Drosophila melanogaster: one gene and its partners. The protein of the gene in region 4 interacts with the protein of the main gene of each other region in a pairwise test. Each region holds a gene or a part of one and is shown on either strand. Other genes may lie near its edges.

Region 1 (8,210 bases), on a different chromosome or scaffold from region 4:
TGCATAAGCAAATCACACTGACTTTGAAGGAAAACCCCAAATGGCCAATTGAAATGCCAGGCCAGTTGGCCTGACCCGAACACAACAAACCAAAAAAAAAGCAATATCAACAACAACAACAATATAAATGCAAAAATGCGAGTAGTGTTCGACAAAGTGTTTAACACCAAACAATTGTCAAGGCATCGCCGTCGTTCAATTAGAGGCGGTGACATTGGTGATTCGATGGATCGACCCAAGGAGCGAGCTATCTAACAAAAAAAATCCAAGCCCAAAAACACCCATTGTTGCCATCCGTGCGCAGAGTTCATTGGCTTGCAGATTGATTGGACTGATTGCCTAATAATCTTTTCAGTGCGTGTCCCATTCGACGGGGATTTAATTTCGACTGCTAGCCAGATCCAATCAAAGTCATTCGCACCCGCAGGTTAATTGTCTCATAATTATTTATAATAATTTCGGAAAATGTTCTACCGTTGCAGAGGAAACGAATCAAGCGATCAGACCGACAAGATGATTTCTCGCCGCAAGATCATATCGCGCTCCCTAGACAATTTGGATGCCATCGGGCAGGAAGAGCAGGAGGAAGACGTCTGGCACGATCGCGAAAAGCTCTTCAGGGTGCGTTTCCTGTCCATTATAACTCATTTGATCTCTAGCTCATCCATTATCCATACCTATTGACACCACGCAGGATCACATCAACGAGGTTCTGTCCAAGTGGGAGCAAATCGACGACGAGATCTGGGCCAAGATAATTGTCTTCGAGAAAAATCGGCGAGTGGCCAAGGCCTACGCCCGCTCCTCTGTGATAACCATAAATGGATCTAAGAATGGATTCGATGGAGTGCGGTGAGTTTGAACTTAATATTTGACTATTAAGAACAACTTATTTAATATGGCTAAATCCACAGTATTGGGCTGAATGGCTTCGATAATCCGATGCGCGATGCGGAGACGAAGGTGATCAAAAAGTCCATCGGCGATGGATTCAAGATCAAAATGGACGACACCGGCAACATATTCATCAAGCGGTATGGCAAGAGCAGCATCTACGTGAACAGCACATCGCAGGGCAACGAGGAGACGGTGATCGGTGGCGACATAATCCAAATGCCGCAGATGTCCCTCACCGCGGCCACCTCCGCTCGACTCTTTGATATGAAGAAGTTCCAGACGAACATAAACCGCGAGTTTGCCCGCACTTATCCGGAGCGCGGAAGACTGGAACGGCAGTGCCTGTCCGCCGTATCGCTTGTCAAGTCGAACAACAATCTTATCAACTCTCCGGTCTGGATACTCGTGGTCAACGTGGTGGCCATGGACATGCTGAGGAGCCGCCTCCAAACGATTCCCAAGTCACTGGATGCGATGGGCATGCGAGTGCCGCTGACGAACAGCAGCGAGGATCCATACTCCACCATCGAAAGCCAAGTGGGATTGATCTATCCTACGCCCGCCGCGTCGGATGATTCCCAGAACTCCCAGCACTCGAGCAACTCCAGCAAGGGACGGCGCAGCATCTTTAGTGCCGCCTTCCTCAACGAGGGTCCATATGTGCCCAAGGTGGGTTCTAACCTAGATTACATTCTACCTGAAAAATTTGGGACTTCAAACCTTTTAACCTGTTTGGGAAAAAAAACTTAGCCTAATAATTCTTATTTGCTTTTTACACTTTGCAGCCCGACTACGAATCTGGCGGATCTTTGACGCCCATATATGCGGACAAGAAGCGACAGAAGAGCAGCGGGTCGCAGCAGCGGAAGAAGCAGGATGATCCGTACTACTGCGGACTCTTGGCGCGTATTCCCAACTTCATCAAGTCCTCGAAGCAGCCGTGCCCTGGAGGAGCCAGCAAGCCCAAGAAGGAGCCAAAGATCTCGCGGAAGATCTCGGCACAGCACCAGCAACAGCAGTTCCTGCAGCCGGCGCAACCCATTCCCATTGCCACATTCCACCACTCGTACTTCCCCTACAAACTGTATCCACCGCAGCACCGTCTCTCCCAGTCGCAAATGTCCCTCTGGGATGCACGTAGTCTGATCAGCGCACATGGTAAGTGACCACTTAATTTGTTAAGTGTATCTCAGTTAATCAGAACATTTCGCCATTTCAGAATGATCACTTTGGCTGGCCCTAATTTATTCATCGTCTAGCGTTAATTCTAAAATTATTTAGTCAAAGCCTACGATTAAGTTTGGTCAGTGAAGGATCATCGATTCACTGGATCACTGTGGAGTGCATTTCGCTCAGTTTTGTGATAAATGCAGCGAAATGCAGCCATTTAGCGTACGTCACTTAATACGCACTAACTCTAATTAACCGCAGTTAACTTTAAGTCAAGCAGAGAGATTTAATGATTATGCAATTTGTAATGAGTAATTAAAATTTTGCCATAGTTTCTTAAATCGTTTAAGACTGAGAGAATGTCCTAGAGCCCACGATAAGCGCACGGAGAGTTTGGCTGAGATTCAGGATGGGGGCAGATAATGTCATATGCAAATTAATTGCTACTTTAGGCAAGTTCAATTTATTATTTTCTTATTATTTTTCTGTACATACACTTCATATGTAAATAAGATCAAATTAAAAACATGTAATCGATATTAGTACGCATTAAAAAAGAGTTATGAAAGTCAATATAAGTGTTTTACTTTAAACGGGTTACAATCTACGCTGCTGAAACTGAATAATAAAGGTATTTTGTATAATTGTGTGTAGTTTGATTTTCATTTACGAGAACATTTAAACATATCTATATCTATATATATTTTCCGACATTTTTGCATTTACTAATTGTGTTTAAATATCGGAACTTAAAATTTATTAAACTGCTTTGCCTCTTTCTAAGATAAACATTGGTGGTGAAAAGTAAACCTGCGCTATCACAAGATTTTTTGTCTCCTAAATTAAATACATAATAAAATGCCGCCAAATTCGTCATCGAACTAAAATCTTAATGTACTAAACGGAGACCATATAAAAACAATCGATTTTCGGTGAGAACGATAACCGATTGCCAGTGAGTGATCTTGTAGCATTGAGGTTACCCGGTCACACTATCACATTGTGTTGCACTTTTTGTGAGGTTTGGATTAGAAAATTATTGGCGCCTCTTTTGCAGAGTTTTGCGACCGACTTCATTGCAATAAGGAGCGCCAGAGTGCGGAGAACATAGCCCGTGACCATGGACAAGTTTCTGTTGCGCAATCCCACGTGGAAGACGAAGACGTACGGATCGGTCGTGGCCAGTTCCGCCGCAGCTGCCAAGAAAACAGCGGCGTCATCGACCCGCCGACCGTTGCACGATTCAAATCTGGGCGACTTCAGGTCCAAAGCAGCGGCACCGTCTCCCAAATCTCTATCCCAGGCCCCGGCAGGTTGGCTGTGCATGCCTATTTTACATTTTGAACACCCAACCCAGTAGTTTTAGTTCCGGATACGTAGCTCACCCAAAATTCGTAGTATTCAAAAAAAAAAAAAAAAAACAGATTACCATGTCGACAAACGAACCGAGCATTACTAACAAGTTGCGTTCCCTCCTGCTAGATGACCAGGCGGCCAGGGATCGGCTGATGCTCAAGCCGGCATTAGCCGTCTCCAAAGCGATCAGCCAGCACCGCTCCGAGTTCCACCAGGACGAGAACGAGGCGGGAGCAGAAGGATCTGCAGCAAAACCAGATCCACCCATCGGAGCAGCCACGCCAACCAGGCAGGAAGGACACTGGGCCCGACTGCAGCAAGATCTCAACAGCCCCAACGCTGCACTCCGATTACGCGCCATTCGTGCATTAAAGTAAGGACAAAAATTGGTTATTGCAATTGTTATTTATACAACCTAAAGGTCAACTAGTGAAAACAGCTCAGATTCTTGACTAATCCATCCTTTTATAGCCATTTTATCGCTAATTTTGTAAAGTTAGATTCTTTAGATGCAATCCCTAATAATTCCATATCCATCAATAACTATTATATTAACAAGCCAGGTTTTTTTGCCAAAACCAAGTATTGATTATTATTATTATTAATTATTGTTTTGCAATGCAATCTAATCTGATTTGAGAAGAAACTGATCATAATAAAAAAAATGCATTCGCTTTTACATTGTATACATTTTTAGAAGCCCCACCAAGTCGGCATACAATACCTTCGATGTGCCTTTAGCCGAACAAAGCATCATCACGATGGAAGAACGCAATCCCCAGGAGCCGCCCTCCCTCCCCGAGTTGCTCAAGGACATAGTCGTATATGTGGAGGTGCGAACTGGAAACGACAATCGCTCTGAGGGCGTAAAATCAATTATTGCCAAGATGGGAGCCCAGGTCAAAGATCGCCTAACGCGGTAAGCTAAGGGATTACAATTGATTGACTAAAATATATTCAATTAAACATTTTTCGTTTGGCTTGTAGAACCACCACACACGTTGTCTTCAAGGATGGCCTGCTCTCCACCTATAAAAAGGCCACCGAGTGGAATATACCAGTCGTTTCCATTCTGTGGATTGAAGCTTGCAAGGTGCAGCTGAAAATATGCGATCCCAAGCAATTTCCAATCAGCAATATACGCATGTACGAGTATCCCGAGCTCTTTGGCAAAATGCCGGTAAGTTATTACTAATTGTGGCTTCTGTTGCATCATCGATCTTATTTATATATTCAAATGGGGATAAATGGGGCTTAAGAAGATAACTTTTAATTGTCACCATTCGGCTTTATAATTTAGCTTGCCTTCTCATAATACTAAGCTCACTGCAAAATACCCAATAACACATTGCAAAAATAGGCTTGTATGTACGTAGATATTAAAAGTTGACTTATCAAGGTCTTCATACAACTTTTAATATTCTTATCATATCATTATTTGTTAGGCCTAACAACTTCCCAAAAGCTTTATCAGATCTAAGACGACAATGTACTTTCGAGTTCATCAACTCTGCATTACATTTTGGTTGGAAATGGCAGCTTTAACTTACACTTCGATTACAAAAGAAATAGGTCTTTAATTAGTCTAATCGTTGACACTATCAATTTATGGCATTGCGGACACAGAAGCATTAACTCCACTTGAGATATGCCCCCAACTAATAGGCCATTCATACCGAGTTTATGGTTTTATGGCGCACATAAAGAACTATATGGAAATTGTACAACAGATAGCCGGCAAGAGGTCTTATCGACCACTTTTCCTGATGACCACGATCACAGTGGGTGGACTGTGGCCCAAAGCACTTGTGCGAGTACAAACATACATATCTGAAATGATTAGTTAATCCAGAAAATGGCGAACAGAAACGCAGGACCGCGGGCCGTCTGAAACTGCACGTATCTCAAACACGGAATACGCGCAATATTGGGAACTCTTCGTGTCGGACAGATTCTTATCACTTATCACTGGCTGACAGCGAGTCAACCAGCTGTTGTTGTTGTTGGCACTCCGGGTTATCTAAGTGAATTTACTTGCCCTTATCAGCTATCGTACGGCCAAAGAAACGGTCAGGAAGTTGTCCGGACGGAGACAGCTACATTTGTGAGGGAAAAAAGCGAGTGGGTGCAACTGAGAGATGTTCATTTGAATTCGTTTAGTTTATTACTTAGACATTAGACGGTTAAAAAAGACACAAGCTACTGGACGCCGGTGACAACTTAAAACCTAATTCACATGCACGTTTGTTTACAAATTTTCCTAGAACAGTTCATTTACATAACTCGCTGGGAATGCTGTACAGATACGTGTGCACAGATACACAATTGCACGGATGTCGTCGCGGCATCGCTGGTTGTCAAGCTTCTTTCTACAAAACTTACACTCTACGCTAGATTATTAGATTCTCGTTTAGGGCTGGTTCTGAGATTTGTACACAGCATGCTTCTATTTACAAGACAGCAGAGTTTTGCGTTAAGTACAGTGGAATCTTTGAGTTTAGCACTAGATTATGAAATCTGCGAGGCGGGCGAAGGCGAGCCGTTCGTTCCTCACGACAGCGCCACCTCCAGACACATCATGATCAGGAAGCCGGATACAGTGCCCCACGTGGCGATCGTTCCATTTCCGCTGGCATGAGCCTCCGGCAGAATGTCGTCCGACACAATGTATATCATGGCTCCGGCCGCAAAAGACAAGGCGTATGGCAGGATCAGGTTGGCAAAGGTCACCGCCACGGCGCCCAGAACTCCAAAAATGGGCTCCACCATTCCGGACAGCTGTCCGTACCACAGAGCCCGCTTCACGCTGAATCCTGCGGCATGCAGTGGCAAGCTGACAGCCAATCCCTCGGGGAAGTTTTGAATGCCAATGCCAATGGCCAAATTGCGGGCGCTCTCAAATGTCGATGAGTTCGTGGAGCCAATGGCACCAAAGCTTACGCCCACAGCCAGCCCTTCTGGAATGTTGTGGACCGTGATGGCCACGACCAAAAGCATAATCCTCTTCCACTGGGACAGGGCGTCCTCGGCGCGCTGCTGCTCCTCAGGCGTGGTGTAGGTGCACTGCTCCATCTCGTTGATGCTAGCTCCCTTCTTTCGGCGTCTCGATTCGCCGCTGTGCTGCACGCTAAGGCAGTCGGAGAAGCTGTCCAGACTCTTTGAGGCCAACCTATCGGGGGCAACTCCATTGCGCTTAGAGTCCTCGATGGCTATGTCCGCCTTGGCTTTTGATTGCGTCATCTGGATCATCATGTTGGTGCTGTTAAGGCCCAGGTATGACATCAATTTGTCGCATCCGTAGACGAAGATCGATCCCAAGAGGAAGCCTCCAGCGACGGGCAGAAAGGCGTATACTCCGTACAAATGGGAACTCTCGGCCATTTCGATGGCCGGCTTGAGGAGTGACCAAAAGGAGGCTGCTATCATTACGCCAGCTGCGAATCCCAGGGCGGCGTCCAGAGACCTCCGCTGGTTACCCCGGACGAAGATCACTAGGGCGGCGCCAGCGGCGGTCAGTCCCCAGGTAAGCAGGGTGCCCAGCAGAGCCTGCGTGACGGGTCCATAGCCTGGAATCATCTTGCACAGTTAGAGCTGCTTTTCCGTGCCCGTCACCGGCTGGTATGGAATTGTACTCCCGAGATTTATTCGCGTGTACACAGACAGGGCGAACAAGTTTTCTTAATTGTTGCGCAGCAATTGTTTACCCGCCCACAGTTGGAAATGTGCCACGTTCTTGGGCACTGATTGCTGGGTAAACAAAACAACTGAGAACCAATTTCAATGGAGTTTTAGATTCTGTGTATGTTTCAAGGGAATCTCTGGAACACTTGTTGCTGCTTATCGTATTGTTTTTGCGGAATGCTATTGCGTTTCGGGCGGCGGGGCAATTTCGGGGGGACGCGTAATACTGACGGGTTGATAAAAAGGTCTACTAGCTCTACTAGAGCGCGTCGGAAAGTGATGAATGAGCCGCTGACTGAGCTGACAGCCCCACAAAAAGCAATTTTTATAGGGCCGCTGGCTGTGTGCCACGGCAATCGATAGTAGTGTTATCGCTGGCGTCTATCGATAGACGGCGGCCGCTAGGGATGGCACTCGCAAGGCGCATTTATTCAAAATTCGTTACCGAACTCTGCTACTAAATCATTATTGCTCACCTCGGATTTGACTTGTAATTTTATTAAATATCATTTGATATTCATTTAACGCATAAGCGAGCACTATCGATTGCGACTTGATGGAACCATCCTCTTGGGCAGCGAGATGGTCTCATTGTAGATAAGAAAGTTTTCTATTTAAACAACGGGCCAGATATCACGTAGTTATGAACAAATAAAACAGTGTTTTCTAGTCAACATGACTGAAAAAAGTCGGCAGCATCCGCAGCATCAACAATAACACCAAAGGGCATGAGCTTGCTCACCGTAGTTGCAGCTACGCAGCGTTAACTAATTTTAAAATCCCTTAATTCGCAGCGCGTTAAGTTCATGCAGCCGGACTCCGAGTTGAATCAGCGACCCCGCAAACGCCAAGGAACACCCACATCCTCCAAGGACAACGAGCCAGGATCGACTAACAAACGAGCCCAGACCGGAACTCCAACAACCACCACACCAAAGGTAATTGGGCTCAGTATTAAATATTACAAATATTTATTATGAAATTGAGATATTTGAACTTTGTAGGCATAATGAGCATAGTTCTATACAATTAAATTAAAATAATCGTATACTAATTTAAATAGATATGTGTATATGTGTCTGGTAAATATTTCATTAACATCAATT
Region 2 (7,438 bases), on a different chromosome or scaffold from region 4:
TTATTCTTCAGCAGAGCGGTCAAGTCGTCTATGGATGCAGCTTGGCCACCCAGCAGCGGTTGCAGTTCGTTCTTTAGCTCCTGCATATCCGCCGCGTTCTCATCCTCCTCCCGAATGTCCCTCTCCTGGATCGTCTGCGGTATGGTCACGTGGCAGTAGCCGTTTCGAGAGTCCGGCGACTTGCTCCTCGGATTACACTGACCCCGGCAATCGTCGGCATTCAGATTGGTATACTTGCATAGCGACGAGTTCGGTATCCAGGTGAGCAGAAGCGTGGGCCTCTTGGCGCTATTATACTGATCTACAAAGGTCTTTGTCGTGCAGGTCAAATAGCCCGGATTGTGCAGTATATCCGACTCATCGCGGGCGATTGTGGGCGGATGGATGCAGACGTTATTCTTGCAGAAGAGGATTTCGTTGTCTTCGTAAGCAATATCGATTTTTCTGTCCAATCTCTCGTCGCCCAGTATGAAACTAGAAGCCTTTTTGATAATGCTTCCTATGGGCATGGTCTCGAATTTGATATCCTTGAGCGGGTAACTACTATATGGTGAATTATAGGTTTCCTTCCCGGAGTTATCCTAACGGATTTACTAGTGGGCGGATGGGGAACTTTTTTCTCTGGTTAGCTTCTGGTTTGGCGGATTTTTGTTTGATTATGGCGGTCGCTGGTTACCATAATTTTAGGAATTGGTTGGCTAAACCTTTGATTCGACAATTAATTGTAACACAGCGGATTGGTGAAAAAAAAAACTATTAACTTTTGATTCTAGGGACCTCTCACAAGCAGGATGACATTGGAGGAAAAGAATTTACGCGAAAACTCAGCGCAGGCGCAGTTAACAGTCGATGGTTTTAAGACTGGTTTCGATATTTAATACTTTAAAAATGTTGAGGATTTATTAATTCAAACTGCAATGAAAAGGTATATTTTTAATAACAATGATAATATATTAAATGCGAGTAGGTGTATATTAATATCTTCTTATTCAGCTTGCAAATCAATCAAATCTAAGTCTATTTCTATAAGCTTTCTTCACATAATCATACTATATATCAAATGGAATACAAAACATATTATATATACATTAATTAAATATAATTTAAATAAATTTTAGAAACTACAGGAACATTGGTATTGGAACAGCATATGTTCCAGCTATCGATATCAGACTTACCTTCACTAACGTAAATAGAATCAATAGTCGCTTAAAAATATTGACATTGCATTTAGTTTTGTCTTGAGTTCTTGATAAAATGGCGAGCAAAAGAAAGCACCAAGCATCCCAGAAAGTGAAAGAGGAATCCTTCAAGAAACACACGCTTGACTCCGATGAAGAGGATTCTGACGACTACGAAAGGTAATGCTTAAAATGTGCAAACAATTGATTGTTTTGATTTCGGCACTTTTTGTTTGCAGGGAATACCTCAATGATAGCGACATTGAGGGCGGCGAGGAGGGCGTGGCAAAAGTGGAAGACGATGTGAAGGTAACACCCTTCAATATGAAGGAAGAACTGGAGGAGGGACACTTCGACAAAGATGGTCACTACCATTGGAACAAGGAGACGGAAGCAAAGGACAATTGGTTGGACAACATAGACTGGGTTAAAGTAAGGATTCCATCACTGCTGCCTGTACACAATCATTTAATTTAAAAGCAATATTTGCCTAACAGATTGGCACACAGAAGAACGCCTTCGACCCGGCAAAAGATGAAGAAAACTCTTCCGATGAGGAGAAGAACGAACCCGTGGGCAAGGCCTTTAACTTGTCCATGAACCTCATGAAAATGGTCGAGTTTATGAAACCGGGAGAGACTGTCAAGATGACCCTGCAGCGTCTGGGTAAGCAGCGCCCCGTCCTAACAACCCTTCAGAGGATTAAGCAGAAAAAGGCCGGCATCGTTGACCCAAAGACACAGGAAATCTCTCAGCTCACCGAGCTGGCCAACGAGATTCTCTCGAAGACGGGCAATATGGATATATATCAGGATACGTACGAAAGCATCAAGGCCAAGATCGCCGATTTGCCAGGAACGAGCAAACCTAAAGTAGCCGATGATATTGATATGTATGCAGATGATTTCGAAACGAAAGAATTGGAGCGCTCTAAGACATCGTCGAGTGATAGCTCCAAACCAACGACGACTACCTCAGAGGTGACCTGGGAGTTTAAATGGTCGCAGGATGAGACTGATATCCAGGGACCCTTTTCCACGGAGAAAATGTTGAAATGGTCCCAGGAGAACTACTTTAAAAACGGAGTCTATGTGCGAAAGTGCGGCGAAAACACAAATTTCTATACAAGCAACCGCATAGATTTCGATTTGTACTTGTAGGCCTTAGTTAACAAATGTTAAATTCTTTGGGTTTTAACATGTTTTCTGCAAATACTTTGTTCTATAATTGTATACTGTATACTTTACAAGAGGTTTCAATTAGTTTGCACTTGGTTTGGACTTAAAATAAAATTCATATTCATATTGATTCTGTCGGCTCTTAAATTTGGTCAGATATACCAAATTATGTATCCGAGTTACTTGCGCTAGTGACGAATAGCGAAAGATTCTTCTATTAGACCCACTAGTTCAGTAAGAGATATCTGATAGTCGAGAAACTCGAAAATGGCACTGTTGTTTTTGAAATGTGCAAACGATAGTGTGGCAAAAGTATCGTTTGGGCGGTGATAGTGCAATCGATGAATGTGCAGCTTTAATTTAAGCTTGTGAGTCTTGGCAACTCTAGAAACACATCGATTAACGTAGCTGAAAATTGTTTTATGTTTAATTAAATACAGGCGAATAGCTCAAGATCTTTTTGGTGTTATGAGCGTTCAAAAGTCACTACCGTTTCCCACTTAATACTTTGTTAACTGTTAAGTTCGTGCAGCAGTTCCCCAATTCTTGCAGAGGAAACAAATTTACGAGTGCTTCGGTGTTGTTGGACACACACTCACTTTTCATCGGTGGAAAATCAAATTTGGGACCAGGCGCAGAAGATTCGTCAGGATGACGACCAAGCACATCTATTCCACGACCAATTTATCAGATCTGCAATTAAAGGAGCAGGGAAACTGCTTGTTTGCAGCCCGAAAATATGACGACGCAATAAATTGCTACTCAAAGGCCATCGTAGGTGTCTCACATATTTTTGTTATTGTGATGTGTATTTTGTTGTTTACATGTGCACTATGCTCCATATAATATGTAGATAAAGAACCCCACAAACGCCACATACTTCACAAACCGAGCCCTCTGCAACCTGAAACTGAAGAGATGGGAACTGTGCTGCCAGGATAGTCGGCGCGCCCTCGACATCGATGGGAATCTGTTGAAGGGTCACTTCTTCCTGGGCCAAGGACTCATGGAAATCGACAACTTTGACGAGGCTATAAAGCACCTTCAACGGGGTTAGATAATACCTGACCTTTGATGTTCTCTACACTAACTAACCATATATGAAACTTATAGCATACGATCTGTCCAAGGAGCAGAAGCAAAACTTTGGGGATGATATTACACTACAGTTGCGACTAGCTCGCAAAAAGCGCTGGAATGTTATGGAGGAGAAGCGAATACAGCAGGAAATCGAGCTGCAAAGCTATTTAAATGGGTAAGATGTTATTCGAATTCTCTAGATGCCTTTTGCAAACTAAATTTAGTCACCGCACGACGATATCGAGGCAATTGTTGTCCTCATGTGATAGAATATATATTAAAAAAAGCGAAATTTGTGCAAAACCTAAATATTTATGTTTCAGTCTAATAAAAGGGGACATGGAAAGCCGTTTGGCCAATTTAAAGCTGAATGGAAATGTACACGATGAGCAGCTGAAAGACAAGCAACAGGAAATTGAGCAAGAATGCGTAAGTTGGACTTTAACCAGAATATTTAGCGGAGTTGACAATCTAATTTTACTTTTTAGGATGACCATATTAAGGAACTTAACAATATATTTTCTAAGGTTGACGAACGTCGAAAGGTAAGAAACTAAAGGAAAAATAACCAATATTAAAAATATTGTTCTAATATTGTTATTTACATATTACAGAAACGTGAAGTTCCCGATTTTCTATGTGGCAAAATAAGTTTTGAAATATTAACAGACCCTGTGATAACTCCATCTGGAATTACGTATGAACGAAAAGATATAGAAGAACACTTGCAGCGGGTTGGACATTTCGATCCTGTGACACGCGTTAAGCTCACTCAGGATCAACTAATACCAAATTTTTCAATGAAGGAAGTGGTTGACTCTTTTATTGCCGAGAATGAATGGTCTTTAGATTATTAAGTTACTTATTAGTTGGCATTGTCATTGTAATTGATTAGATGTTAGAACCCAGTTCCCATTGTCTAAAAACCAGATAAGTGATAATAAATGTGGATCTGCAATTGAGATTTATATTGTAAATGGATAAATTGTAATTATTAATAAATTAAACAGCATAATGTTCAAAATATAAATAAAAAAGCTTTTGCACGATATCGATAGAGAGTTAGCGGTAGTGTGAAAACAATATAGTTTCGATCACCCGTTCCAGTTAGTCAAAAAGTTGGTGATATCTTGACCAAACAAATTATCGATATACAGCTGCTTACAGATTTGCAGAAATCATTTTCAAAGAAATTTGTTTATGTGAATTCACAATTGGATTAACTTCGCTCTTCTTTGTTTAGTATTTATTTAACAATAATATGGATTCGTCTGAAAGCCAATCGCAAATGGATGACCAAGATGCTCGCATACTGCGTCTGCAAAATCTGATCGAAAAGAATATTGAGATAGGTAAGTTAAATCATAAATTACTAATATCTGAAATAACTATATGAATTGCAGAGCAACAAATCGAAAACAACACCATCGGAGAGTCTATCACGGCCATAGAGGAAATCATTCAGACAGCCAACGATATCAGCAAGGGACATGAAGACCGCCGTACAAACTCCACGGAACTTGTCCTGGACACGGAGCTACTGCGTCGCAATTTCGAAGTTGTGGGAAAAGCTATCCAACATAACACCAACGTCACGGATCGAATGGTGGCCACGGCGATCGTAGGTGCACTGTGTACTTTATTTATGCCTGATCGTAATGTTTGATCCTATTACAGAACGATTTGGTTTTCAAAGAGAGCGAAGAAGATTGGGATGCTCTTTGTTCATTGGCTATTCAGTTCGGAAGACCACTCTTCACCAATGATAGCATGCTGCCCTTCATAGATGTTACTCCAAAGGTGGTGGTTCAAAAGCAACGTGCTCCTCGCAAAACGAAATCTCAAGTAAGTCATTTGTTAAACAATTTCTCACAGTAATATTTGTTCATATTATTATGGATCTTGTAGGTAGATGAGAAGCGTCCAGAAAAGAGTGACCAATTGGAACGCAAGGACGAAGGAGCAGCGTCCGTAACCCACATGCTGAAGCAAATAAGACAAATATATCGAGATGGCAATCAAGAGCCGATTCCGTACTTTAAACTGATTTGCAATCCAAACAATTTTATGGACACCGTTCAGAACGCTTTGCAACTGTCGTTTCTTGTCAAGGAGAACTATATTTCCATCGAAAATGGCGAGGATGGTTTGCCATTGGTTCGCGTTGTGAATTCCAAATCGGTCGAAGGAAACGCACCGTCCCAGGCTATTTGTTCCATCGATGTTACCTTTTGTGAGGTTCGTATTTCAATTATTGTTTAAAGCATTATAATTGATATGATTTAAATTACAGAAAATGGTAAAGCACTACAACCTACATGAGCCAATGTTAAAAAGACTTCCGGTTAGTGAGAAATAGATATATCACTTAGTTCATATTAATAGTTTATATTGTTATTAATAAAACACATAGAACGTTTAAAGTTACTCATGTACGGCATAAATAATCGGGTAATTGAAAGTGTTCTTTCCCCCAAACATTAAGTAATTAACGTAATATCAACACAAAATCATTAAATGAATTTTATTACTCAAGCAGTTACTTCATAGTTCAAACACTTCCCCCAATATTTTACTACGAATCCGCCCCTGCCATTATGTCAATTTTTATGACCGCCTACAAATTGTGAAATATGTAGAAGGGGCACTTGTGAAGTTATAGCAATATAAAATGTATGTATGTTATATTTAGGAACTAAATATTAGTTAAGTTGTTTACTTATAACTTTAACCAGTTTCGGATTATGTTCTTAATCCGTTTTTCCTGGTCTCAATGGGTGGCATACCAAGAATTAAACAAATAAATTACTTTGCAGAGTGGAATAATGAATGAATGAATGATTGGTCCATTAATTAAAAAATCACTCCTGTGCTCGAAATTAGTGCACTTTCCGTTGCACAGCGGCTTTTAATTGAATTCCGTTAACTTAATTCCACAAAGAGAAATTAAGATTAATTAAGATTTATTGCACAATGAAGCTTAGGGTTAATTGCATCTTTGCGGTCGACGGAGTTTAAAAGGCTTTCTATGGAGTATAGCCTTTTCTAAGAGATCAGTGCTTCTATTCAAACTGGATGTAGTAGATCAAGTTACTCGATGCACTATTGTCTGAGATTTTGGGGCTTTCAACTTCATGTGGGCGAAGAGAGTTGACCCAAGTGCAGGAAACTAAGCTAATGTGTAATTATATATAAAACCAAAATGAAGATTTATTGCTCCATATCAGCATAGCAACAAACGACCCAATTAATAGCCACCCAATCTTCAAAATACAAAATTAATGATGCACAAGCGCAGTTTCAATAAGTTGCCAAGTTGGGTTTGTCTTAGTAAATTCCATTGAAGAATTCTACTTCTATGAAAAACTTAGTAAATGCATTATGCTACTATGAGTTTGAGCAAAGAGAAAATAGTTTTTTTTTAACTGGAAAATTATTGAAAAAATGTATTGTTTTTATGCATATGCTGCAATATGTTTTTATTTCAAAAAAACAATTTAGCTTTAAATTTTATCTATTTCAAAGTTTTCTTATTTTGCAAGCAAACTTTTTAAGTTCTTGCCATTTTGGGAGCCTTCTTCTCTTAGTTTCTGTGTGGGAAGCTTAAGTCCGGATTCAGTTCTGCTAAATTATAACCAATTTGGACTCCATAAATTTCCTTGGATCACTTTCGCATTAAGCGTTTGCGTAAGGTTCGAATGTACATTTGTTCTCGCATTGATATTCCGCTGAAAGCTACATAAAGTTAAATGCATACATATGCAGAGACATCACCCACATTATTGTAACTCACCCGTGGTCACAGGCACACCTGCGGTCAGCTAAATAGCATCACTGAATTTTAGATGAAGTGTGAACTATATAGGGTTCTTATTTGTCTTGCCAAAAGCAGTATGATATTAATGAGTAGCAATTGTTTACCTTGATTTAAAATGAAATATATTTAATAAATTGTTTACCCCTTATATTTAACTGGAAAAAGGTCAGTTAAGAATATGA
Region 3 (6,541 bases), on a different chromosome or scaffold from region 4:
AACTACCAGTTGAGACATCAGAAAGGTGTGGGAAAATGAAGGCGAATTGCATCAAGGAAGCTGCATGGTTAGATCAGGGATAATTGGCGTGGGAAATTAAGGTATTACTATTATAACATATATATTGAATGGGCATATAGGAAACGATCCTTACACTACTTATATTCGAGTATATTATCTTAAGGGTATTACCATCCAATTTATGTATACTACTGATTACTATTGTATAATTACCCAAGTATCTAGAGCAAAATTGTTAGTGAGCGGGTTTCCTAATCATTTCGCTTAAACACCAGTCAAATACGGCACGAAACCGAAACTCTCTATTATATCGGCAGTTCCCTTTCGCCACATTTCGCCACATTCCTGACCATTAACTGCATTTGGTTGGCCACAAAATCTGTCGCCATAAACCGAATGAACGTAAGTCTCGATGGAGCAAACTTGATTTATGAGCGATTGCAGTTGCAGATACGTATATATTTCGCTATCGCCGCACTCTCACTCTCGGCTGGTCCATTTGGAAAATGGCATGTCAACGGAAATTGCTTAATCATTTCCACGCATATCATGTACACCTCGTATACATATGACTAATGCCATCTGTCTGTGCTCTTCCTTTCCGCGCAGGTAAGTTTTACTGCTATCGTTTTTGGGCCATAGGCAGTTAAAGGAAATCATTGCGTAAGTCAATAAAAAACGGAGTTGATTTGTTTACTTAGGACTTCCCCCCCGGGGGAGGAGTTGCGTAATCCCCGGTTCCTGCGAGGAAGTGGCTCGTAAAAAGGGAGCCATTAGCATGTGCAGTCTGAAAAGCGAGGCGCATAATGGATTTTCCAATCAATGCAGCCCATAATTATGCTCACCAATGAAGTTATTGGCTCATTTGGTCAGGCGGCTAGCGAAATAAGTGGAAAATGAACTGAACGGAGATACACTCCACTCCTTGATTATCGTGGCCATCATACGAACATATCTCCTTCACCACCACTGCTACCTGACCCCTTGTCGCGCCTAACGATCTTTAACCTGACCAACAACGATCCCATCCCGGCCATCTCGGCCCAGACAGTCTGCCAGTCTTTTGTTGTTTATTGATCGTCGTGTTGCACAGCATTCAAACGTGCGTCGAGTGAATTTGTGTCTTTGTATCTTTGCATCGCAGTACCTTTGTATCTGGCGAATGCATTTCGTTGTATCTCAAGTGTATGGGATTGTTTGTACCAATGTTTGTCCGGCTCATTTGCAAAATCTGCTGGGTAATCAGACACCGGCTAGGGATGTCAATTAGCTTATGTTGCTGCTGCTGCGGCTGCTGTTTTGCCAAGTGCGTGACCATTGAACCTGCATTTCCCATTTCCCATTTCCCTGCTGCTTTAAGTGAAAGTGAAAATGCCAGTCGTTCGTTGAACTTGCTGGGAACTTGGCATAAGCAAAGCTCTGCCGACCCTCAGAACTAATTGAAGATTTCATAACTCAGCATTTATGGCCCTTTGCAATCTCAGTGTCAGACTCTAGGAGTCTAAAGCAGACAATTTATGATACAAATTAAATGCATGAAAATTATGATGAATGCGAGGCGAAATTTATGCTGATGACATACCCAACAAAAGAGCGCCAATCCGCCCAGACTCCTACGGCTTCACAAGCTCCTTCTACCTCGCCTGCTCCTGCTCCTGCTCCTCCTCGTCCGCTTCCTGGAGGGCAGCTCCAATCAAGAGCCAGACGATCCACAGACAACAAATCGCCGAGTCAAGGAGTTTGCGGCCCAAGTCGTTTCTGTGTTCATGGATACACGCAAAAAACGATGTGTTACATAGTAAAATCTTTGGAAATATGTATATTATTATGTAGCTCGTTCTTAATAACTAAGATATTTGAATTTACTACACTTATTCGTGCCACTTTCTCTAAGTGTAAGTCTGGATCTGGTCCTAAGTTCCATTGCCTCCCGCCCCTTCCTTTATGGTTTTTTGAGCAGCTGCATGAGGGGCGGGGAGTACAACGAGGTGGACTCCTTGTGGCTGTGGCTGCCTGCCTCTAGCCGAAAGTTGTTGCGTATTTAAAATGGAAATTGCAAGTTTTTCGCTGAGCGTTCCCAATGTCTTTTCCCTGTCTCTCTTGCTCGCTCGTCGACGCTTTTGTTTCACTTTCGTTTGCTGATTGCAGGTTTTTTGTCTTAGCTCATTTTGATTTTATTTCTCCCGTCTTATTCGGTGCATTTATCACGGTGCCACACATTTGTGCCACAAGATGCCAGAGAATCGGGCGGGCATGGCCAATGAAATTGGCCGCAAGTTTCCTTTTCATTTTCATTTTTTTTGCAAATTGAATGCTGCTTTTCAAGCCGATTTCAAGGGTGAACGATTATTGGCCAAGACACCACACTCCTTTCGCCATGATATTTGAGTGAAATTTCTTCATGCAGATCCATCTGCAGTTTTGTCATCTCTCGCTGGCAGGTTATGAAATATTTCGCAACTTTTGCTGCGAAAAATTTCCTGTTTTTCTTCATTTCACTTACGCACTTCTCTCCTTTGGCGGAGTTCGGTGGGTTTCTCGGCCGATTGGTATTAATTATTATTATGGTCTCGTTTTTGTTTCGCCTTACGGATTTCTGCAGCTTTTATTTTTAATGCCCAGCGAACCTGTTGCAATGCGTTCCACAAGCTGAGATATGCGCCTGGGTGTGGAGAGATGAATAGTTATGAGGTTTTAGGTTTGGCTAGCCAATCTTGGTTTTCCAAAGGGTGCCTGACACTATATATTTAGTTTTATTTACTATCATAAAAGTACGAATGATCCACTTCTATCCCATGACCAACTCACGTATGTTCGCCCCATGCTATTCATCCCTTAGTCTTTTCACCCATTAAAACCATTTAGCATTCATTAAGCCCAATTTCTGCCCCATCCATGGTGCTCGGAATAATCAACAAATTAACTAAATTCCTAGTGGGCGCCTCCATCCCCAGAATAATCCAAATTCCGAAGTTGTGACATCAAGAAATGTCGAAGCGATTTCAAGTGCAGCCCCGGGGAATCTTGGGAACATATTCGAACATTCCCAATCGTCCGCAACCTGTTTGATCCGTTGGTTATCAAAGATATTTCCAAACATGTTCGAAGCGAACCTCATGATGAGGTTGCATGGAATCCATAAGATACAATCCACAAGCTGCTTTGCAGCTACAGCCCAGCGGAATTTCAATTCAGTTCGCGCTCAACTCACAGACACGATGGTCATTCAAACGCGTTAACGAATAATAATTTAAAATAATATTCAAATGATAAATACACTAAAATATGCACTAAACCACGCACTAAACCTAAATCCACGAACTGTACATATTTGTGTAAATAAATAAAGTATAAACAAACAGCGAAGAGAAACCTCGAAATACCAATAGACCGCTCAAGTTCCCATACATTGAGCTGGCCAATCGTGTTTGAAATTATTTGTTTGATCGATTTTGTGCGGTGTGAACACCTTGTAAAGGCATTTGCAAACCTATTGCCATAGCAAGCAAAGTGTGTTAAGCTGGGAAACACCCTCTGAAAAGTTTATGTACTACCCCCTTCGATCGGTCGAATAATAACTACCACAAGACAAGCATTAAGTTTGTGTTTACGTGCTGCTGACTAATTGCGTTTATATAGCCCGACTATATAAAACTGTACAATAAGACACGGCCAACTGTTTTAGTTTGAACGCCTCAGTTAAAGCTGCAAATTGCTTCGCTACCAAGTGAAGTTCTACATTTTCGCAGCGAAAACGTTTTTCAATTGATTTTCATTAAGTGAAAAAATCCCGAGATTGTCTTCTTTTCGGTTTCCAATTGATCGCAATTGCACCAGACCCATAAAACATATATACAAAGTGAGGCTGCATTCCAAGTAGAGCAAGACAGTAACCACTTCATCATCACAACATCAGATGCTGCATAATTAGCATTCGTTGCGTGGAGCGTCGAAAAAAAAAGCGGAAAATGTATCTCATACAGGTGAGGCCAAGCGATACAATGGATCCCCCTCTCACGATTAAGTGTTTGCTCTTACTTATCACATGCTGGCGGCACTGCACTTGCCGACTGAAAAAGATCTTCATTTAAGCGTTTTTTAATTGTCCGCCAGCTGAGATTTTCAGCATTTACAATTCTCCCCTCCGTTTGAAATGACTGTGAGAGGCACGCATCTCTGGCGTATATAATTTGTTTAATTTGTAGCTAATTTATCTTTCCACTTGGCAGCGGGCAGATCGGATGTCGAGCAAATGGGGGGGGGTTCACTGGAGCAGGTGCCTCATTACTGAACTTTGAACTTGAAACGGTGTTACGATTTACAGCTGGTAATGGATTACGGTTAGGCATCGGGGTTCGGGTTAGCAGAACAAATGTGCAGGCCTGAGATTATGAAGGGAACTCAAATATTTTGACATAACCATTAATCATTTGTAAATGATATACATTCAATCGATTGCTTTTGAGTTATCTGTCAGCATTGCCCTAAATTATTTAGAGATTTATTCCGAGTTTATATCAAAATTTGTGGAATAAGTATGTCAGAACAACCGACACAACATAAATCCGACGATCGCTTCACTATCCTGCAAACCTTATCGGATGTAGTGGACTCTGGTCTCAGCAAGGAAGCCCTTAAAATCTGCATCGAACTGGTGGACAATGGTGTCTGTGGTGGAGCACTAGCACATGTAATTCGAACCATTAGAGAGGAGATTCAAGATGATGAAGATAAGGAAAGTGATGATTCCGGAGAATCGGCTGCATCAACAGACTCAACTTTGTAGGAAATGAATATAAAATATATTTTTGTGTTTATATTTTGTGTTTGTTAAATTAAAAGTTCAACTTTCCGATGGTCTGTTTCCGAAATTTGTAAGACGCTGGTTCTTGGACATCCAATTGCATGATTTTTGAAGGCTTTCAAGAAGACTTCGCCACTCTATTTGCATTCATCAAACGCAAGCGACTGGCGTTTCTGAAAACGGTATATGTGCCGGCCATGATAATGAAAAGTTGCACCACTTTGGCTTGATAGTAGGTCTAAGATGATAATGTGTTTAGATAAAAGCTTATAGCAAACCGAAGCAACAAACGACTCACCTGTCTTATATAGATGGGCAATGGAATGTGCGATCGATGAACATGGTAATCCATTCCTCTGAACAGCCAATAGCCCGGCCACGCCCCCAAACTGGCGAAAAGAAATGGTGCTGCAGTACTGTAGGCCTTTTCAAAGGATTGCGAATGCACCAGTAAACGTATCTCCTCGCCAAGATTATGCATCCGAGGTGGGTGGGCTATTGCCTTGGCTGGTTCCTCCTCCTTTCGCTTAAGCCTCGTCGAGAACTTCTCCTTCAGATTGCCGTAATAATTTTGGATGCCCATCTTGGAAAGGTTTAATTTTCGACCGAAAGTTGTGTATTGTGTGTGTGTGTAAAGTTTGGACAGAAACATATATCAAGGCTTACCTGAACTAAGAGGAGTCTCCGATGTCAGCTGTTTCTTCCTGATTATTGTGCACTGTATGCATTTCTATTGGTATGCCGGCAGGTCGACCCATTGATATCGTGAACAGACCAGTGGCTAAGATAGCCAACTGCATTAGCTTGGCCTGTTGATAGGTCTGAAATGAATAGTTTTCAATAGGTTAGACTGCACGGGGTAGACTGCTATATTTCAAACCCTTTGAATGTAAAATGCGATTCTCTCCGTTTTTCGTGCGGACTGCCAGTTGTAGCCGCGCCAAATCCAAAACGCTGGCCAGGACAAAAAGCTGACCTCCAGATAGGGCAATATATCAATTATCTTCTTCGATAGACCCTGAGGTGCGTTGCGATCTACGAAGTCAACAAACTCTAGCTCGTAGTTTAAAGCTGGAGCCGTTTGTTCCCTAAACTTTTGCAACTTGACATCTGGGGTTGGAATATCACCAGAGGTTAGGGGTTCAGTGGTATCAGGTGCAGTTCGATCAGAGTCCGGCTTCCCAGTTTCCTGGCTCGAAGCTTCTGGTATTTGGTTTGCAGTGGTTTGGGTTTCTTGTGCATTCTCTACATTCTTAGGACTGTATACCACCGCTGCAATGGGGGAAGTAAAGTTATGAAACAGCTCTGAGATCTTCTGGAGCAGCGAATCCATGCTGAAAAGCTGAACTTTTTGACTATTAATTTTCAATTTTCCCAAAGGTGCCAAAGCAAACAAGAATAGCTTGCTGGGTTTTTGGTTTCGTTTGAAAAGTTCAAAGACTCGAGGCAATTGCATAAATTATCGCCTTAACTCGTTCGTTCATGCGGGCTTACATTTGTTTTAAACTAATTTACCCTATTCATTTTTCTATTTTCTGTCTTTTTATTTTGGGGGCCCACAGAAGCCGCAGAACAAGCTTCATTATTGCCGGACTGCGGGTGCCCAAGATTGGGGTTCTATAGTACGAGTACGAGTATAGTCTATATGGTGTATGGTGTACAGTGTGGTGCCGAAGTGGGTCAGTTGGTGCAGCGGTTCATGCAATTATAAAGCGC
Region 4 (8,589 bases):
AATGGTAACAGAGCCTTATATGCATAACTCTATTCATTAATAAATCTGAATTAATTTAAAAACACAAGTGCCTATGAAATCGAAATATAACCATAAGTTCCTCATATCAATTGCATACAAAAAACACACAACACCGCAAACATTTTTATCAATGAAATATTTGTATAAAAGTTTCTAATTGAATTAACCTTTGTTTTATTTAATTTACTTCATGACAAGCTTCCATGAAAGTTGGTGGTTTGGGCAGCTCGTAAAAAATTCCCACAGTTTTTAAGAATTAGTGGAGCCAATCTGTCTCGTAAACATATTTACTCGTTGTCTAACTTAATGACTCTTCGTCATGCTGGTCAATTTTAGGCACTGATTTCAGTGCGTGTTTTCCTAATCGTATCTTGGTTTTGGTTTTACATAACTTTTACATCATCCATACCTCAAAATTGCTCAAGGGCAAGAAAAAGAATCGTTTCGAATCGAAACGAATCGAATGGATTGGAAACGAATGGTACATAACTAAATGTTTTGGTTTCTTAGAAATCTCGTTTCTGTCTCCTTATAATTGCTAATTTATTTATTTATTTTATATTCGTTTTTTTTTCAGCTCTTTCTTTATTGTTTTGGCTAAGCGTTGACGGGAAAAAAATAAACAGAGAGATGGGTATTTTACGACCCAACGAAGATTTGAATGCTCTACGTATGTTCATATATATATATATTTCTTAATTTTATTTATTCACTAGTTTCGTAAACAATGCGTTAAACAACATAAAGCTAATAATGTTGAAATATATTCAAACAATAGCGAACACTTTAAAAAGTTCTTACTTGCTAAGGCTATAATAATTCAATGCAAATGACATAATTTGTCTTGTTTTTGGATTGATATCGAATGGAAAATACTTCTCAAAATTCGTTCAAAATTCATAATACCCCAGATAATGGGGCACAATTCCGAAAATCGGCAAAATTCAAAGCGTTCGGCGAAACGAGGGAACTGGGGGCTGCGTAACAAGTTGTTCGATCTGTTAATTTGCCAAAGAAATCACGAAAGATCGCAATAAAAATTAGATACAAAAATGAAACACTTTCTTTTCTTTTCTGTGCGGCACATATGCAAATGGCAAATGTAAAGCCGAATCTATAGCTAAAAATTCACGTTAATCGCATGGTAATTAATACGGCAGCTGCAGCCTTTTACTTGGAATTAAGGCGATGACAATTAATGGGGTGATAGATCGAGATGATAAGTCAGTTCGATTGGACGGACACTCCCTTTTGGGCTGACTTTTTGTTAACTCGTTTGCTTGGACCTGGTCTCTAAGTGAGCCATCAAGATCGACTCACAGATCAAAAGACAAGACTCTGGGGCGTGTGCAAGTATGCATAACAAATGCGATTTGATATCAAAGACACGGACGAAATAGCAGACATCAAACATCAGAAACACCAGGTTAATTTCCAAGGCGAACTCAGTTGGTTGAGCCAGACGAACTAACTAACTAACAGCCATCACACATTTGACAAGTCGCTGAAATGGCCAAAACGTTTTCATTAGGCCAAGAAGATCAAACAACCAACCAGAAGAAGAATTAAATGGCCAAAAAAAAAAGAGATACTTCTTTTCGAATGAAAAATGAATGCCGTGCGGCATTCGTTTAAGTTATTAAGCATAAAACTTAAATTAGAAGCACCATTAGCGATTATCATTAGAGCTGCGTGTCCGGTCCGGTTTGATTTCAATCTCATCCACGCGTTGGGTAGACAAAATGTGATAGACTTGATTGCTGACAGCCATAAATGCAGTGTTCAATCAAAATATGTTTGCAAAACCCGCCAATCCAGGAATAAATGTATAATATCTATAAGTTGGCCAAAAAATAGTTCAAAAATAATAGATATATATATGTTCAAATGCAAGCCAGGTTTAGCAAACAGAAAATCGAAAGAATATGTCTATAATATTAACATTTTAAAATATACAATATTTTCGTTATACCTTGAATTTTGGGTGTATATGTGTGTCATTGTATTTTTCAAAACAGTTTGATAAGCCATATTGTCATATATCAGGATTTGTATAAACTGTTTACTTTTAGAGCTCTAAAATTGGCAAAAAGGAAATAAATATTAATTAATCGAGAACTAGTTTAAAAAAAGGTAAATTTTGAACATTACATTTTTATGGGGCCTTAAAAATGGAATATGAATAACTATCTTAAGATAACTAGAATTCAAGGCAAGCGCTCTGAGAACCCAATACAAACATGAACCATCAATCAAATAACAATAATGCAATTTACAAGTAAATTCGGAAGATTTAGAAGACCAAACAAAGAGTTTCATAAATGGAGCCATTAGTGTAACCAATAACTATGCAAATGATGGAAATACAAAACGCTGAAAAGCTACCGAAAGCGAAAATCCGATGACCCTGTGCGGTCCGAAATGGTTAAATGGCATTTTTGAGCCCAAGATCTCACGATCTCTTAAGAAGATCCCAAGACACCAAGCACCGAAGACACCAAGACAGACACTGATCCGCCAGAAGAATCGCATTTGATAAATTTTGATAAGACCGAAAACGAAACGGCTAATTAAGCGAAGGCTGACTGATATGCATATTAGCATATGAAACCGAAGAATGAGAATGGGGCATCTTATCAGTGGTGAAGAATCATCATCGCCTCTTTCCGCTGAAGAAACGGATGAAAGATTTGCGGGTTCCATTCAGCGGCACTTTCGGAACTTGGAACTTGGGTGTCCGCTAAAATAAACTGGTCGCCCAAGTTAGTATAGTATATATATAGTTAGTATATATATATATATATATATATTCCATGCTTTATAAAAAATTAACGCAGATTTAAATTTACGCACATGCACACACTCACACAGACACACACACCACACACACACACACACACTCAGGGAAGAGAATCATCATTAAACGTGTATGCTAATTTGATGATGGCGGTTTTCTAATTTTGTTGCCACGAAAACCAGATTTCTATGCTTTTCGATCTGCGATCAGTCTCCGTCAGCAACGGAGATACCGAGAAGGGAGAATTGTCCAGAAGACCCGTAAAATGTTACATCTTCTGGATGCTGAAGATTCACCGATGGATGATGCCCCTCATCTGGGCTAATCCCCTTCCTCACACACATACACACACATATATATATATATATATATATGCATATATACCATACCGATTTCAGCGTTGACAAACTTTGGCTTTTTTTGATTCTAAGCGGCTGCGACGCCGACAGAGGCTCAGTTCGTTGTCCGGTTCCTATTTCTGTCGACTTCGCTGCCGGCGTCGCTGATAATACCATATATAAGGAAACAAGAAGTCGCATCGTTTGTATTTATTTGCTAGAATCTGTGAGCATCGGAACTAACCGAGCCGCTACAATAAAAAAAAAAAAACATAAATTAGTCCTCGTTACGAAAAAAAAAACACACATAAAAATGAAGAGTTTTGTAAGTGCCCGAAAGTACTGAAAAGTATATATTTAATGAGTTATTTTTTTTTTTGTGGTGTCTCAATAAAAAAAAGGATCAAGTGAAAGTGCGCGCAAAAAATGTCCTTCAAAAGTGTGAATACTTTTAAGCCACAGAAATGACTTTAAAGCTTATTTTGAATCTCAAACAAAAGATACACATTAAAATCAATTTAACCGAAGTTCCTGCGAGGCTGCTTTTTAGTTTTTTTTAAGCTTTACCTAAGAATTAGTATGCCAAATTAAAGAACTAATGACCCACACTTTAAGGAAAGTCCGAAACCTAAAGTGTTTGAATATCACCTTGAGCAGCCGCATAGCTCATCGACGTCAAAACAGACGAATGACAAATATCGAAACGGTTGGAACCCATTATGATTAGTGCCTCGGCCCGAAACCAAATCAAATAAATCACAGCAAATATAGATAAAAAAAATTAAAAAGACTAAAAAAAAAACGAAAAAAAAAATAAATAAACGAGAGAATTGCGAGACAAAGCGACGCTGTGCGGTCAGAAACGCCAGCGATTCGCGCGCGACTTTGATTAATTGCCCGTTAATGCGAAATGCAAAATACGAATCCCAATTCAAATCCAAATCAAAATCCGTATCCAAATCCGAATGCGAAAAAAATAAATCGTAACGACTGTGATCCACAGATATGACTAATGCATCGTGTGACAAGTGGCACTAACCAGGCATTCTATCTTTTAGCTGATCCTTCTGGGTTTCGCTGCTCTGGCCGCTGCCGATGTCAAGCATCTGACAGATCGCAATCTGGACCTCTTCAAGTACAATCCCAGCGATATCTACACCCTGCCCGAGGACATCGATGACGACAAGCCGGCGGTGCACTTTAGCGGCGATGTCATGAAGGCCAAGACCGAAACCCTCCAGAACTACAACTCGGGCAAGAAATTCAAGCTGGAGTGAGTATCTATGGTACCTATATAGTTCATAAAGTGATAGTGTTTGGCTAAATTAAAACATAATTATATATTTATATATGAAGTTGAATCGCAGTCTAAAAGAAAACTACTTTAACATAGGTTTATAGATCTGTAATAACTTTTGATGCATAGCAAATAAATTCAAGTAATTTGATATATTTTTTTAAATAATTTACAAAGCATCAAGTAATTTGATATATTTTTTTAAATAATTTACGAAGCATTACTAAAGTTAAAATGAACTTTTTTTTCAGACTGAAGACCCAGAACGGCATCGAAGTGAGCAGCGTGGGCAAACTGAAGGACGACAAGACCTTCGTGGTCAGCGGCTCCTACTCGTTCACCGGCGCCGATGGCAAGCGGTACAAGACCCGTTACACCGCCGATGAGTTCGGCTATCATCCCATCACCGAGCTGGATCTGGACATTCCCGAGTGAGTAACCAATACACTTTACAAAAAAAACGTTTAAGAACTTCTTCAAACTAGCACATTTGCGTACAAATCAGAAGTTTCATACACTATTATTGCAAATGATATAATGAATATAAAAAACTTATTTTATATTTATATATTTTAGACCCCAGCCTTTGGCTTCTGCCGGACAGCGCCAGACCGTGGATCCCAGCAGCCTGTTGGGCAACAAGAACCGTTTCCAGTTCCTGCAGCAGACCCTGGACTCCGATCAAGGATCGCAAGGTCCTCTGAGGGGCAGTGGACAGAGTGGCGATGACTATAGCTACACGTCTCCCTATGGAAATGGCAATGCTTACGGTAATGGAGTTGGAAACGGATACGGAAATGGAGTTGGCAACGGATACGGAAATGGAGTTGGAAACGGACAAGGAAATGGAGCTGGAAACGCATACGGAAATGGAAATGGAGTTGGAAACGGATACGGAAATGGCAACGGCAATGGCTACGATTATCAGCCACCTCAGGTGCCCCTGGCGACGCCATCTCGTCTGTATCTGCCCACCGCATAAGGCGATTATTATTTAGATATACCCTTATCCAACACCCTTCTCCCGCAAGATTTATGCCCCACCCGATTCCCGATTCCTGATTCCCGATTCCCGATTCCCGATCCTCGATTTTCCCCCCAGCTGCAAGTATTTAGTTTTTAAGTGCAACTCCAACAGGCAAATGAAGAGTAAAACAGAGCTAGCGAAATTTTTTTTTATCATTTTTTAGTGTTATACACGGAGCACAATTTTATATGATATTATACACTGATATATGTTATATATCTAGCCTACACAAAAACACGCACACACACACACAAAAAAAACAAACACACACACAAATCCCGAGCAAAGACACAAACGAATCTATGTATATACACTGAGTGATATTAGTAGTAAATAAAATGGCTAAACTAACGATCAAAGTTTTAATGTGTTTTAATTGAGGAATAATATGGATGGGGATATTTATATATATATTTTGGCTTTGTAATAAAATGTTATTGCAAGCAATTGTTGAAATTTTATTCAGCATCGTTACAAAAAAAAATTCGTTGTTTCAGAATAAAGTTAAGTTTTATTAACTGAAAATGAATAGTTTGTTTACTGTTTTATAAGCATGGCATATACAATTTTCCAACTTAGATACAGAATCTATTATTACAGATTATGATTTTGTTCGAATGCCTAAAAGCATGCAACAAACGTATGAAATTCATCTGCATCTACATATAAATATATAAATTAAAGCGATATTTAATGACTTCTAGTTAAGGCTCTTAGCAGCAGACAAGTTTGCTTGATAAATTCGTTATGTATATGGAATTTAAAACTTTTTTAAAAACGGAATAGAGTGGTAGCCAAATGGTCAAAGTTATGACATTGCTCATACGCCACGTTGTACACACTTTTCTCAAAATAATGCCTGCCAATGCTTAACTTTAGTTCGTAATATGTATATGATTGGTAATATCTCTATATTATATACATATAAATAATTAAAATTCAAAGCGATTGAAACTTGTGCAGAAATTGCAGACAAAGAACCGAATCTAACGCTATTTTTGGAATGCAAATCTGGACTCGATATGTAGGGACCAACGTAGGCTGTCCAGAGATAAGCTGTTGCGGTGCAGTAGCAACAGATGTTCGTGGCGAGCACCTGAGATACACCCGATGATCCCTGATCCCGTCGTCACAGATATGTTATTTCCGATTACCGCGGGAATCTGTGGCTATATAAGCAGACCCGTGGGCGTCGGTAAGGCAACAGTCTTTAGGCATTGGATCCATCAAGTGCATCCGATCCGGAGCAGTTAAAGTTGAGTGTTTCGAACAAAAGAAGGAGTTTCCAGGATGAAGTTTGCCATCGCATTCCTGGCTTGTGTGGCCGTGGTCACTGCGACCGCTTACCACAAGACCCACGACATCAAGGTCGCTGACAAGGCGTTCCTGATGAAGCAGAAGTTCCTCTTCGAGATCGTCTACCGCGTGGAGGATCCGCTGATGTTCGAAGAGTACATTGCGATGGGAAAGCAGTTCTATTTCGACAAGGAGCACTACACGGTAAGTGGGAGAAGAAAGCGGATTCCGAGTGGTCAGTACCACAAAATGCACCTTCAATTCTTCGCAGCACTTCGATCTGTACATGGAGAAGTTCTTCGAGGCCCACAAGGCACACGCTTTGCTGCCCAAGGGCGAGTTCTTTGGCGCCCTGGTTAAGCACCATGCCAAGCAGGCACGTGGACTCTTCAACTTCTTCTACTACGCCAAGGACTGGGAGACTTTCATGACCAATGTGGCCTTCGCTCGTATGCACTTCAACGAGGGCATGTTCGTCTATGCCCTGACCCTGGCCGTGATCCATCGCGATGATTTCCATGGACTCGTTCTGCCCGCCATCCATGAGATCTTCCCGCAGTTCTTCTTCAACAGCAAATTTGTGATGGAGGCCGAGAAATTCGACTATGAGATGTGGATGAAGACTAGCCTGTACGAAAAGGAGTATATGGATGTGTACCACAAGATTCCAACTTTCTCCTCATACGAACATGGATACAAACAAGGAATGGCATACGGATACGGTAAGACACACGGACATGGACAGACATATGAACACGAATTTGGCAGCATGTACCAGACCAGCGACTACATGTACATGAAGGACTTCAAGACATGGCAGTGGTGGAAGCTGATGGGTCTGGGCGAGCACTGGTACAGTGAGAGCAACTACATACTGCGCGAGAACATCTACGAGTACAACCAGGAAAGCAACTGGCTGACGATGATGAAGGACGTGAAGAAGTTCTACATGCCGGTGGACTATAGCCGCGATCTGTACCTCTACAACGAGGAGTCCAAGCTGTCCTACTTCACCGAGGATCTGGGATGGAACAGCTACTGGTACTACTTGAACATGGACTACTCCTTCTTCCTGGACGGCAAGACTTTTGGCCTGCAGAACGATCGTCGCGGTGAATGGTGGCTGTACAATGTGCACCAGCTACTCAGCCGATACCACATGGAGCGTTTGTCCCATGGCCTGGGCGAGATTCCTCAGTTCTCCTGGTTCCACCAGATCGAGATGGGCTACGATCCACAATTGATCTACTACAACGGCATTGGCTACAGCTATCGCAAGAACTACTATGAACTGGAGACGTACGGCAACTTTGAGATGCTGGACAAGATCACCGGCTTCCAGCAACGCATCCAGAACATCGTCGAATTGGGCTACTACCAGACGACCGATGGTCATATGATCGATCTGCGCAAACCGGAGTCCATTGAGATCATCGGTAATATGCTGCAGGGCAATGTGGATGCCATTGACAACATTTTCTTCCAATTCTGGTACATGCTGGCCCATATGTACTTCGCCGATACCCACTACTATCAGATGGAGGTGTACCCCAATGTGATGCTAAACTTCGAGACAATGATGCGGGATCCCATGTTCTATATGTTCTACAAGTCGATCGCACAGGTCTACTTCCAGTTCATGCACCATCTGCCCAAATACACCAAGGAGCAACTTCTCATGCCGGGCGTTACACTGAAGCATGTGGAGGTCAGCGAGCTGGTTACCTACTTCGATCTGGTTGACTTCGATGTGACCAACATGCTCAACGGCAAGATGGTCTTCCACGAGGGTCAATTCTTGTGGGACAAGTCC

What was found.
Region 1: the proteins of Cpr11A (region 4) and MCPH1 interact in a two-hybrid assay, tested with the Drosophila melanogaster proteins (one large-scale study listed by BioGRID).
Region 2: the proteins of Cpr11A (region 4) and STUB1 interact in a two-hybrid assay, tested with the Drosophila melanogaster proteins (one large-scale study listed by BioGRID).
Region 3: the proteins of Cpr11A (region 4) and Mzt1 interact in a two-hybrid assay, tested with the Drosophila melanogaster proteins (one large-scale study listed by BioGRID).

What each region holds. Positions count from the first base shown.
Region 1 is NT_033778.4:11,898,751-11,906,960, reverse strand, and holds the start of MCPH1 (microcephalin), read left to right. Parts: upstream 1-3,042; 5' UTR 3,043-3,187; coding exon 3,188-3,380; intron 3,381-3,422; exon of another isoform or gene 3,423-3,497; coding exon of another isoform or gene 3,498-3,549; coding exon 3,550-3,796; intron 3,797-4,120; coding exon 4,121-4,342; intron 4,343-4,410; coding exon 4,411-4,603; intron 4,604-5,566; exon of another isoform or gene 5,567-5,973; coding exon of another isoform or gene 5,974-6,999; exon of another isoform or gene 7,000-7,444; intron 7,445-7,898; coding exon 7,899-8,042; intron 8,043-8,210. Other genes in the region: reb (rebuf), read left to right, coding at 514-621, 695-852, 915-1,566, 1,683-2,055, 2,117-2,121; Zip48C (Zinc/iron regulated transporter-related protein 48C), read right to left, coding at 5,974-6,999.
Region 2 is NT_033779.5:10,434,829-10,442,266, forward strand, and holds STUB1 (STIP1 homology and U-box containing protein 1), read left to right. Parts: upstream 1-2,719; 5' UTR 2,720-3,010; coding exon 3,011-3,133; intron 3,134-3,212; coding exon 3,213-3,411; intron 3,412-3,472; coding exon 3,473-3,614; intron 3,615-3,762; coding exon 3,763-3,868; intron 3,869-3,927; coding exon 3,928-3,984; intron 3,985-4,053; coding exon 4,054-4,296; 3' UTR 4,297-4,412; downstream 4,413-7,438. Other genes in the region: TBC1D16 (TBC1 domain family member 16), read right to left, coding at 1-509; holn1 (hole-in-one), read left to right, coding at 1,258-1,361, 1,421-1,613, 1,679-2,341; Nse4 (Non-SMC element 4), read left to right, coding at 4,701-4,791, 4,843-5,060, 5,117-5,284, 5,348-5,677, 5,733-5,798.
Region 3 is NT_037436.4:2,384,778-2,391,318, forward strand, and holds Mzt1 (mitotic spindle organizing protein 1), read left to right. Parts: upstream 1-4,487; 5' UTR 4,488-4,558; coding exon 4,559-4,807; 3' UTR 4,808-4,873; downstream 4,874-6,541. Other genes in the region: Svil (supervillin), read left to right, coding at 3,990-4,004; CG32299 (uncharacterized protein), read right to left, coding at 4,944-5,063, 5,124-5,408; CG32298 (uncharacterized protein), read right to left, coding at 5,497-5,646, 5,706-6,158.
Region 4 is NC_004354.4:12,483,613-12,492,201, forward strand, and holds Cpr11A (cuticular protein 11A), read left to right. Parts: upstream 1-3,357; 5' UTR 3,358-3,469; coding exon 3,470-3,481; intron 3,482-4,214; coding exon 4,215-4,429; intron 4,430-4,704; coding exon 4,705-4,884; intron 4,885-5,029; coding exon 5,030-5,435; 3' UTR 5,436-5,836; downstream 5,837-8,589. Other genes in the region: Lsp1alpha (larval serum protein 1 alpha), read left to right, coding at 6,771-6,980, 7,048-8,589.